2 linked regions of the Tribolium castaneum genome follow. The protein of the gene in region 1 purifies or fractionates together with the protein of each later gene. This does not show direct contact. Links are inferred from orthologs where the notes say so. Each region holds a gene or a part of one and is shown on either strand. Other genes may lie near its edges.

The links. Proteins that work in one complex are often made in the same cells at the same time.
Region 2: the proteins of Rlip (region 1) and coiled-coil domain-containing protein 6 purify together in Homo sapiens (affinity purification with mass spectrometry; 3 studies listed by BioGRID and IntAct, counting the BioPlex papers as one, with this or other methods). This does not show direct contact. The link is inferred for Tribolium castaneum from reciprocal best matches to the Homo sapiens genes RALBP1 and CCDC6.

Annotation. Positions count from the first base shown.
Region 1 is NC_087403.1:3,536,177-3,540,173, reverse strand, and holds Rlip (ralA-binding protein 1), read left to right. Parts: upstream 1-1,374; 5' UTR 1,375-1,516; coding exon 1,517-1,604; intron 1,605-1,655; coding exon 1,656-1,785; intron 1,786-1,830; coding exon 1,831-2,039; intron 2,040-2,091; coding exon 2,092-2,353; intron 2,354-2,399; coding exon 2,400-2,577; intron 2,578-2,624; coding exon 2,625-3,338; 3' UTR 3,339-3,384; downstream 3,385-3,997. UniProt on the Homo sapiens protein: Multifunctional protein that functions as a downstream effector of RALA and RALB. As a GTPase-activating protein/GAP can inactivate CDC42 and RAC1 by stimulating their GTPase activity.
Region 2 is NC_087398.1:5,840,393-5,844,787, reverse strand, and holds the start of coiled-coil domain-containing protein 6, read right to left. Parts: upstream 2,908-4,395; 5' UTR 2,614-2,907; coding exon 2,386-2,613; intron 2,337-2,385; coding exon 2,043-2,336; intron 1,918-2,042; coding exon 1,419-1,917; intron 1,146-1,418; coding exon 913-1,145; 3' UTR 1-912. Other genes in the region: subdued (anoctamin-4), read left to right, coding at 3,659-3,990.

The sequences.
Region 1 (3,997 bases):
ACGCAATATTTTTTAAATGTCAGTGGAGACCGTATCGGTTCTATTATTATATAACGTGAATGATTTAGTCATAAAGTTTTGTGTGAGTTTGATGGTTACATTAATCAGTTGTATTGTAATGACTGCGCTATACTTTGTACATACATATGGGCTCACTCCACAATACTTTCATATATAAAATCTAAAAAATAGGCTGTTTCGTTTTCGCTTTAGTGTGTACCAATATATTAAGCATTATGTAGCTGGGCTACACGTATAACTGCTTAGCTGAGATTTCTTAAGGTTGGTTCATTAGAAAACAATACAATCAATGTACGTTTAGTTGAGCTAAGAATGTTTGCACTTTTCATTGAAAATGGCAATCATACGATGGTAAATTTTACTTATTTACTTAAGGTATGCATTTCCCCAAAAAAATTTAGTTGTAATGTTGTTTCAAGACTATAGATAAACGCCACTCGCCAACTCGTTGTTCTAATACCATTTAATGACACAACCACCGTTTCTTTTGTTATTATATTATTGTTTTTTTTTTGCGCGTAGCCTCGATCTAAAGTAGGGACTACTCTTTACGTTGTTACATTGCCGGATTTTCTTTCACTCCTCCCGTAGTAGGGACTACTTTTTACTTTGTTACGTTGCCGGATTTTCTTTCACTCCGCCCGTAGTAGGGACTACTTTTTACTTTGTTACGTTGCCGGATTTTCATTCACTTCTCCCGTAGTAGGGACTACTTTTTACTTTGTTACGTTGCCGGATTTTCTTTCACTCCTCTCGTTTGATCTAGCTTGAGGATATTTATAAGTTGTGTTAGGACCCCTTGACAACTGGTTTAGGGGCAAGACTAGACAAAGGTGTTGTTACTTGAAACTCTGTTTTTATTAATACGACTAAATCCCATTTGTTTTATATTGTTAACAGTTTTAGGTGTCAACTACTCTTGATATATTTTTATAATGACCTTCCCTTTGGTATGTTTATGAAAATGTAAATCATAGGACAGGCAAGGAGTTCTTTTGTATGTGTTTTCGTAATATTGTATTTAGAGTACTAATTCATCATTTTAAGATAGTTGAAAATCTGCTTTTCCGTCTCGCCTGCAACCAACCACGTGCAATCGACAATTGATTGCAGGCGAGACGAAAAAACACATAAATCTTGTGATAATTAAACGTTTTTTTTGCTCAACTCCTTGCAATTTATTACATAGTTAAGTTAGTTTGTAAAGTGTGTTGTGGAAGTGTGGTCAAAGATTTGTCTTCCTGTAACACGTAAAAAAAATTAAAAAAAATTACAAAACTAGCTCGTCTTTTATTTCGAATCTCCCGGTTAAGGCGGCCCTCAACACCAGTTCCTTCAAGAGATGGCAGGGCAAGCACCTGTCATATTACACCACTCAGATGACTTGATTTGTGTTGTTTCTGTTTTATCCCAGCTTAACATGCTTAGCAACAAATTCCCTTGGGAAAATAGTGTCATAATTATTTATTAAAAGTTCAAACCCAACCGTGTCAATATGGATTTTGATAGCCCCGACGTAATGAAGGATTTCCCAGGCTTGTACGCATCCGAATTAAATAAGCAGTGCAATAACGACAGCGACTGTAATAATAAATTAAGTGAACCACTAATTCCCGATTAAAACTCGTTTCTAGATAGTGACGAAAATGAGAAAGTCTTGAAAAAGGACATTCTCATCGGAAAACGCAAAGAGAAGAAGGATAAAGACAAAGGTTATGCCGCTTTAGAAGGCGAAAGTTCAGCTGATGAAAATTTCAAGTCGAGGTAATCACACCTGCAATCACTCAAACCCTCACTGGGATGTTTCAGAAGCCCGTCGAAAACAAAAAAAGCCAAACCGTTCAAATTCTCCACCAAAGCCAAAGAAAAACGGGACAAATCCCGCGAAAAAGAGAAAGATCTCGACAAGAAGAAAGACCGGGATAAGAAGAATGACAAGAAGCAGGACAAGGAGAAAGTCAAGAGTGAGAAAACGAAGAAACTCAAACAGTCAATTGACGAGACCGCTGACATCGGCGGTGAGAACTCTTACATAATGACAATAAAATTGGAATGAATTGTTCGTTCCAGATATTTTACCGATTTTCGGGGCTAGTTTAGACGTGGCTGTTGAGAGGAGCCGGTGCCATGACGGTGTAGACATTCCTTTACCCATTCGGGAATGTATAGACTATGTAGAAACCGTAGGTATGTCGTTCGAAGGCATATACAAAATCAGCGGAACAAAATCAAAAGTTCTCCAAATACGTAAAATGTACAATCAGAGGGGCAATATCAATTTAAATGACTACGACCCTCCAACCGTCACAAGTTTAGTAAAAACCTATTTAAGGTAACCTTTTCTTAGGTGTAACATGATGGGCAAAAACTCTTTGCAGAGATTTACCAGAACCACTTTTTACAAACGACCTTTTAATACGTTTCGAGGAAGCCGGAGCCATCCTTAATCTCAACACTCGCGAAAAACACTTAAAAATTTTAGTGGACCTTTTACCTCCCCACAACAAAACGCTCCTCGGCTGGCTCATCACCCATTTACACAACGTTTCTCTGAATGTGAGTGCCTTAACACCCCAGCCCCCATAGTATAGCGCGTTTCGCAGGAAAAATGCAACAAAATGAACAAACAAGCCATTTCCACAGCCCTCAACCACACCTTCCACTGCTCCTCGCGCCTCCTCCACGCCCTGCTCCACCACTGCCTCGCGCTCTTCCCCACAATCACAATCGCGCGCTACGTGCCCCCTCTCGAGTCCGGGGCCAAGCTCCCCGAGGAGCCCCCCGAGATCGAGACGGAGCTCAAGAAGCAGGAGTCGCTCCTCACCCAGATCCACAAGGAGATGAACGTCTGCTGCATCTCGAAGCAGCGCGAGGAGCTCCTCTGGGAGGTGCAGAGGATCATCACGCAGCTGAAGCGCAAGCTGAAAACGGCGAACCGCGACAAGGAAGCGGTCGAGAAGGTGGAAGCCCCCGAGCCCGAGGCGCAGCCCGAGGAGGCGGCCAGCGAGGAGGAGTCGGAGCTGGACGGCAGCGTCGCGCTGCTGAAGTTCAAGAACGAGGGGCTGCTGCTGCTCAGAGACTCGCTCCTGAAGGACATCCAGGCGGAGCGCGGCCAGATCGCCGTGCTGCGCTCGCAGATCACGGGGGAGGTGCCGCCCGTGGCGATGGTGCCCAACGAGGACCTGGACGAAGTCATGGACCTGTTCCTCAAGGAGAACCAAATTTTGCAAATCAAGAAGATCAACTTGGTCCGCCAGATCATCGAGGAGCAGGAGATGTGCATCGAGCTGAGAGCGCAGATTTTAGCCAAGTCGTAATGTGTCCAGTATTATTGTAACTGTATATAATAAATGTTCAAATTGACGCTGGGTTTAAATTTAGGTAGACTTGACATTGGAGTGGGCCTAAGGTTACGGTATGCAACTAGCAATGCGCCTGAACTAAGCCAACAGGCGGCGCTAGCACTACTTAAGTCGAGTATTTTTACATGTTTTTGTGCGTGTTGTTTTTATTTTTAGTGGGGAGTGAGTTCGTACTGTTTCATGTCCGATATTATTTTAGAATAGGAAGTGGTTGAAGGTGTTTAATTTTTTAATTGTTATTTGTTGGATTTTTACGACCGTCCCTTGTGATGTTTGCTGGCGTTTGGCAAAGTCAATAAATAAGATAAGGAGTTTCGTTAGTGTTTAGTGTGTATACATTGCTCATTTTATTATATTGTTATAAGTCACATTTTGAATCGAAGCCTCAAGGGACCATCTCGTGGTAAGTCTTCTGTGACCCAAAACCCCATTTATGACTCCCACGTCAATAACAATCATAATCAAGTTTGCTCAACTTTTGATTAAATTGTCGACTTTGTTTACACAGATGATTCCGTTTAACCCAGAAACTTCACCAACCCGGAATTTTAGCCCATTCGTCTTCGGCACCCTTTCTTTATCTTATTTATTGTACGAAATGTTTTTAAAAAGAT
Region 2 (4,395 bases), on another chromosome or scaffold:
CTGAAATAGTCACCGAAAGTTTTCATTGGCTTTTAATTTAGTAAGGGAAGAATTTTGTTTAAATTTAGAAATTTGGCAAATCAAGATGATAATGTAATTCCACCAATGAAACTAATGAGTTTATATCCTAATATCACTTTTCACAATTTTTTTGAATTGCCACCTGTAGTGTCAATTTTTGAGATGTTAATCTAAAAAACACCTAACTCTAAACTAAATAGTCTTTAATTCGTAATTTCTAGTGTTATGAATGTAACAAATCGGATAAATAACCTTCAACATTTCAATTAAACTTACTTAATTGAAATGGTGTTACAAATAAAAAACGTGATATCCATTACTTAAAACGTAAGCTAGATTTATTATTGCATGACAAAATAATGAATACTAAGAAAACAAGTTTGGCAGAGTGCAGTGTACAAACTAAACGAAATTGTTAAGAAATCGTGTCACAATTTTAATTAACAAAAACTCACATATCACAAACATTGTGAAAATTGTTGGCAATGGTTCAACATGGCATCGGACCTGTGACAACTGCCGTTGCTAGATTGAAAGATCACTTGTAAACATTCAAATATGGAAATATTTTAGTAGAGCTGACCACAATGAAGCTCCCTTTATCATATAACATCATTAAGTACACATATTAAAAGCAAAGCAGATCCCGAAATTAATCAAAAACAGCTGCCCGAAAATCGAAAAATCCAAGTATAATATATCTAAATAAGAAAAAATTATGTATCCATTAGTTTCACAGTAACACCATGTAGTTTTATTAAATTTATTTGTTTCGAACTTTAAAGCCCCTATACAAATAACATGCAGAGAAAACCAACAAATGTTCACCACCTGCAAAACGAAAGCCCATCAACATGATTACTTATTTGTCAACTCGACACCTTTTTTATCTTATTCTTTAGTGATTGAAGTATCCATGGGACTAGCGGGCTGTGGTGCTGGAATCGCCGGCTTGATGAATCTTTCGCTGGTCCTTCGGTGGGCCGGGGCCGGGGGGCTGCTGGAACCCACGTTGTGCAAAGCAGGCACGCAAGCCGCCGTTAGTAATTGACCGCAAGTCGGACAGCGTGGGGGGCCCACGATTAGCGAGTCGCGCGGGGATGGGGCTTGCATCGACGACAAACCTAAAAACATCACAGTATAACACCTACATCCGAACTAATTGTTACAAGGGGTTCACGGATTATCGATTAATTGGTGTTAAAAATAAAAAAACATAATTGTTACAGCGAAGATACGCAAATACACAAAATAAGACTTTGTATTTTTTGAAATAACTAACATAGTTTAATAGAAGGCAGAGTTTAAATATATATTTTTTCGGTATGTTTTTTATAGGAACCCGACAATATCTGGTTTTATCTTACAATTAGGAGCTTAAAAAATGTTTTTCCCACCTGGACTCAGGGGGCGACTCTGGCTAGGCGACGGATTGTACGGAACCGGCGACACCGTGTGCTGCCTGGCCCCAAGCACTTGCTCGTTGTAATGCCTCTCCTCCTCCATCTCCAGCGAGCTTTCGCTCTCCGAGAGGTGGCGACAGAGAGCTTCGCGCCTCTCCACCTCCAACTGCAGCTTCCTCTGCAACCTCAAGTTCTCCTCCTTGATGTTGCGTTCCTCTTGCGCGTATCTTTGCATCTTCTGGGTGTGCTCTTGTTGGCTGATTGCTAATGTTTGCCTCAAACGGGCCACTTCCGAACGGAGAGTCTGGATGTGGGCACTGAGATTGGTGGCAGTATCGCCGTTGTTGATGTCACGAGGACTCGCCGGATCTGAGACCGGTTGGTCCAATTTGATCTGAAGCATTCGCTTCTCGGCCTCGAGCTTGTCCATGCGCTTCCAGAGCTTGTTAACGAGAGCTTCTTGCTCCTGCTCAAGAGTGTTCTCAAGCTCGACCTAATTATTAAAGTATTATAGATATTACACAAATGAAACTAACTCTTGAAGAAATAAATAAATTATTTAAAGTACAAATTTAATTTTTTAAATTTAATGTGTAATTTTTTCCCCATGTATCTTACTTTTTCGCGTCTCAGCTGCTCCAAGTTGCTCTGCTTGGCCAGCGTCTCAGCTTCTAGTTTCTCAATTTTTCTCATTAGACGGTTAACAAGGCACTCTTGTTCCTGCTCTAGAGTTTGTTCAAGTCGGCACTTCTCCTGTCGCAGCTGCGTGAGTTTCCGCGAGAGATCGTTGGTAAGACACTCCTCCTCCCTTTCATAGTGGTGGGCTAAAGACTCCTTTTCCTTCTTCAACGCTTGAATCTTCTTAAGAAGAGTGTTTGAAATAAACTCCTCCTCTTGCTCAGCCTTGGCTTGCTGCAATTTTGGGTTAGTAAACGGCAAGGCTTGAAGGTTTTGGACTCACGATAATGACAGAGGCCTGTCTCAGGCCGCGATTTTCCTCCTGGAGCGCCTTGACCCGCAGCTTGTAGGTCTCGAGTTCGACTTTAAGCACCCGATTTTGCTGCTGCAAGCTTTCTATCCGCTTTTGGAGCTGCTCCCTGGTTATGGGGCTGGGGGGCATCATGATGGGGCCCCCGTCAATGCTGCTCGAATCAGACTCACTCGCTGAATCAGCCATGTCTTTAAACATAATTCAACACGATCAAATTAGGGTAGGAATGGGCGAGATCGTCATGGATTTTTTTCAAGTGTTGAAGAATTTCTTCTGGGGTTTTTTCAGGTGGGTTTGTTTGGCATAGAGTTAGAGGAGGGAACTGTTATTTTTAGTTAAAAATACATAAATTCACACCTTTATTGCTTCACTGTAACTATAAAATTAAACAATTAGCAATAAACATGAGGACAGATGACAATTTTTGGTTTCGTTTCTTGACAGCCGCCATGCACATTGCTGCCAATGCGGAAAATGTTACCAAAAAACCGGCTGGAGAACGAATTATCGAAGGTAATACGCCTTCAAATCGGATGAACTTTACCTTATCGCAAACAAATTGAACAACAAGGCAATATTACACGTTTCGGAAAGTATAGTAAAGTAAAAAATTGCACAAAAATTTTCAATTTAGGACTTTTATTTTCCTTAGTAACTTTTTTGCAGAATCGAACTAAGAGGTGGCATGATCCATATAAAAAATTAAAATACTTAAACAGAAAATTGGAACCTAAAACTGAGCCACAATATTTATTACCCAACTTTTATCTTCTTTAGCAAAAATATTAAATAATGATTCTTTTTTTTATCTACTGTATAAGTTATTCAAACTACCAGTAGTACAAAAGAACTAATTATTTTAAAAAGGGGAATTTGTACTTGATATTATCACTGTAATATCGCTGTAAAATGTGTATTATTTCGCATTTAACAGTGAATCTGTGAGGTGAGTATGTGTTTTTTTTTAACTCAAGTGATCAGGTTTCAAATTACAAGAATGCAGTTGACATGTTTAAAAATAGCAAACACTTTTTTGTTAAATAAAAATTACACAAACATAATAACAGCAGTCAGTTATCACTGCATGTAATTATGGTCTATGTTATCATACTTGTAAATTTTTACCCAAGTACTGTTATGTGACGTTTTCAAGCTCGTGACTCACTAGTCCAAGAAAAATGAACCACTAGTCGTTTCGTGTTTAAATTAAGCTTTACTATTTTTATAGATTATTAAAATTGTGATGCCACTAGAGACAACCAAAGACAATGTTCGAAAAAACTCAATTACAACGTCCATGTCAGCCCCTTTGTTACTGTCAGGACAAGAAACGTCAGAACTGTCACCTACCAGAAGAAAAATCCATAAGAAGAGACTGACCATTGTAAGGCATGGGGACAGTTTGGAAAATGATAGATTTATGAGTCAGCCCCACATTTTGAGTTACTGTAATGGGGAAGTTGAAGTGAAGCAAAGAAAACCCAATTCATGTGATAAGTTAGATATGGATGCTATGTCTGTTGTTAATTTGTATAAAAGTGCTGATGATTTAGATTCGGAAATGGATACGGGAAGGTAAGAATCGTCTTTGTCTGTTCGTTTAACACCTGCGGTTGTATTTGTTTATTTTATCTATTTTTACGTGCAAGTGTTGGCAGGTACTAACACTGTTTCTCTGATCATCTTACGCAAACAATAACTCAAGCCCAACATTTAACTCTACTACATTTTTTATTTTATTATTGTGTATACGCAAACACTGATTTGTTCCGAGTACTTATTTTAGAGCAAGAACTGCGACCTTTGTTATCAGAATTAGTAATAATAACGCTATTATCACCGGTTTAAATAATATAAAAAGGAAATGCAATTAGATGCCAGCAAAAAGTACTGCACTCATTCTTCTTTTAATGAATTTTTATTTGTGTTATAACTATTACAGTACAATAAAAATTACCTTAAAAATTTCCGACTTTTATT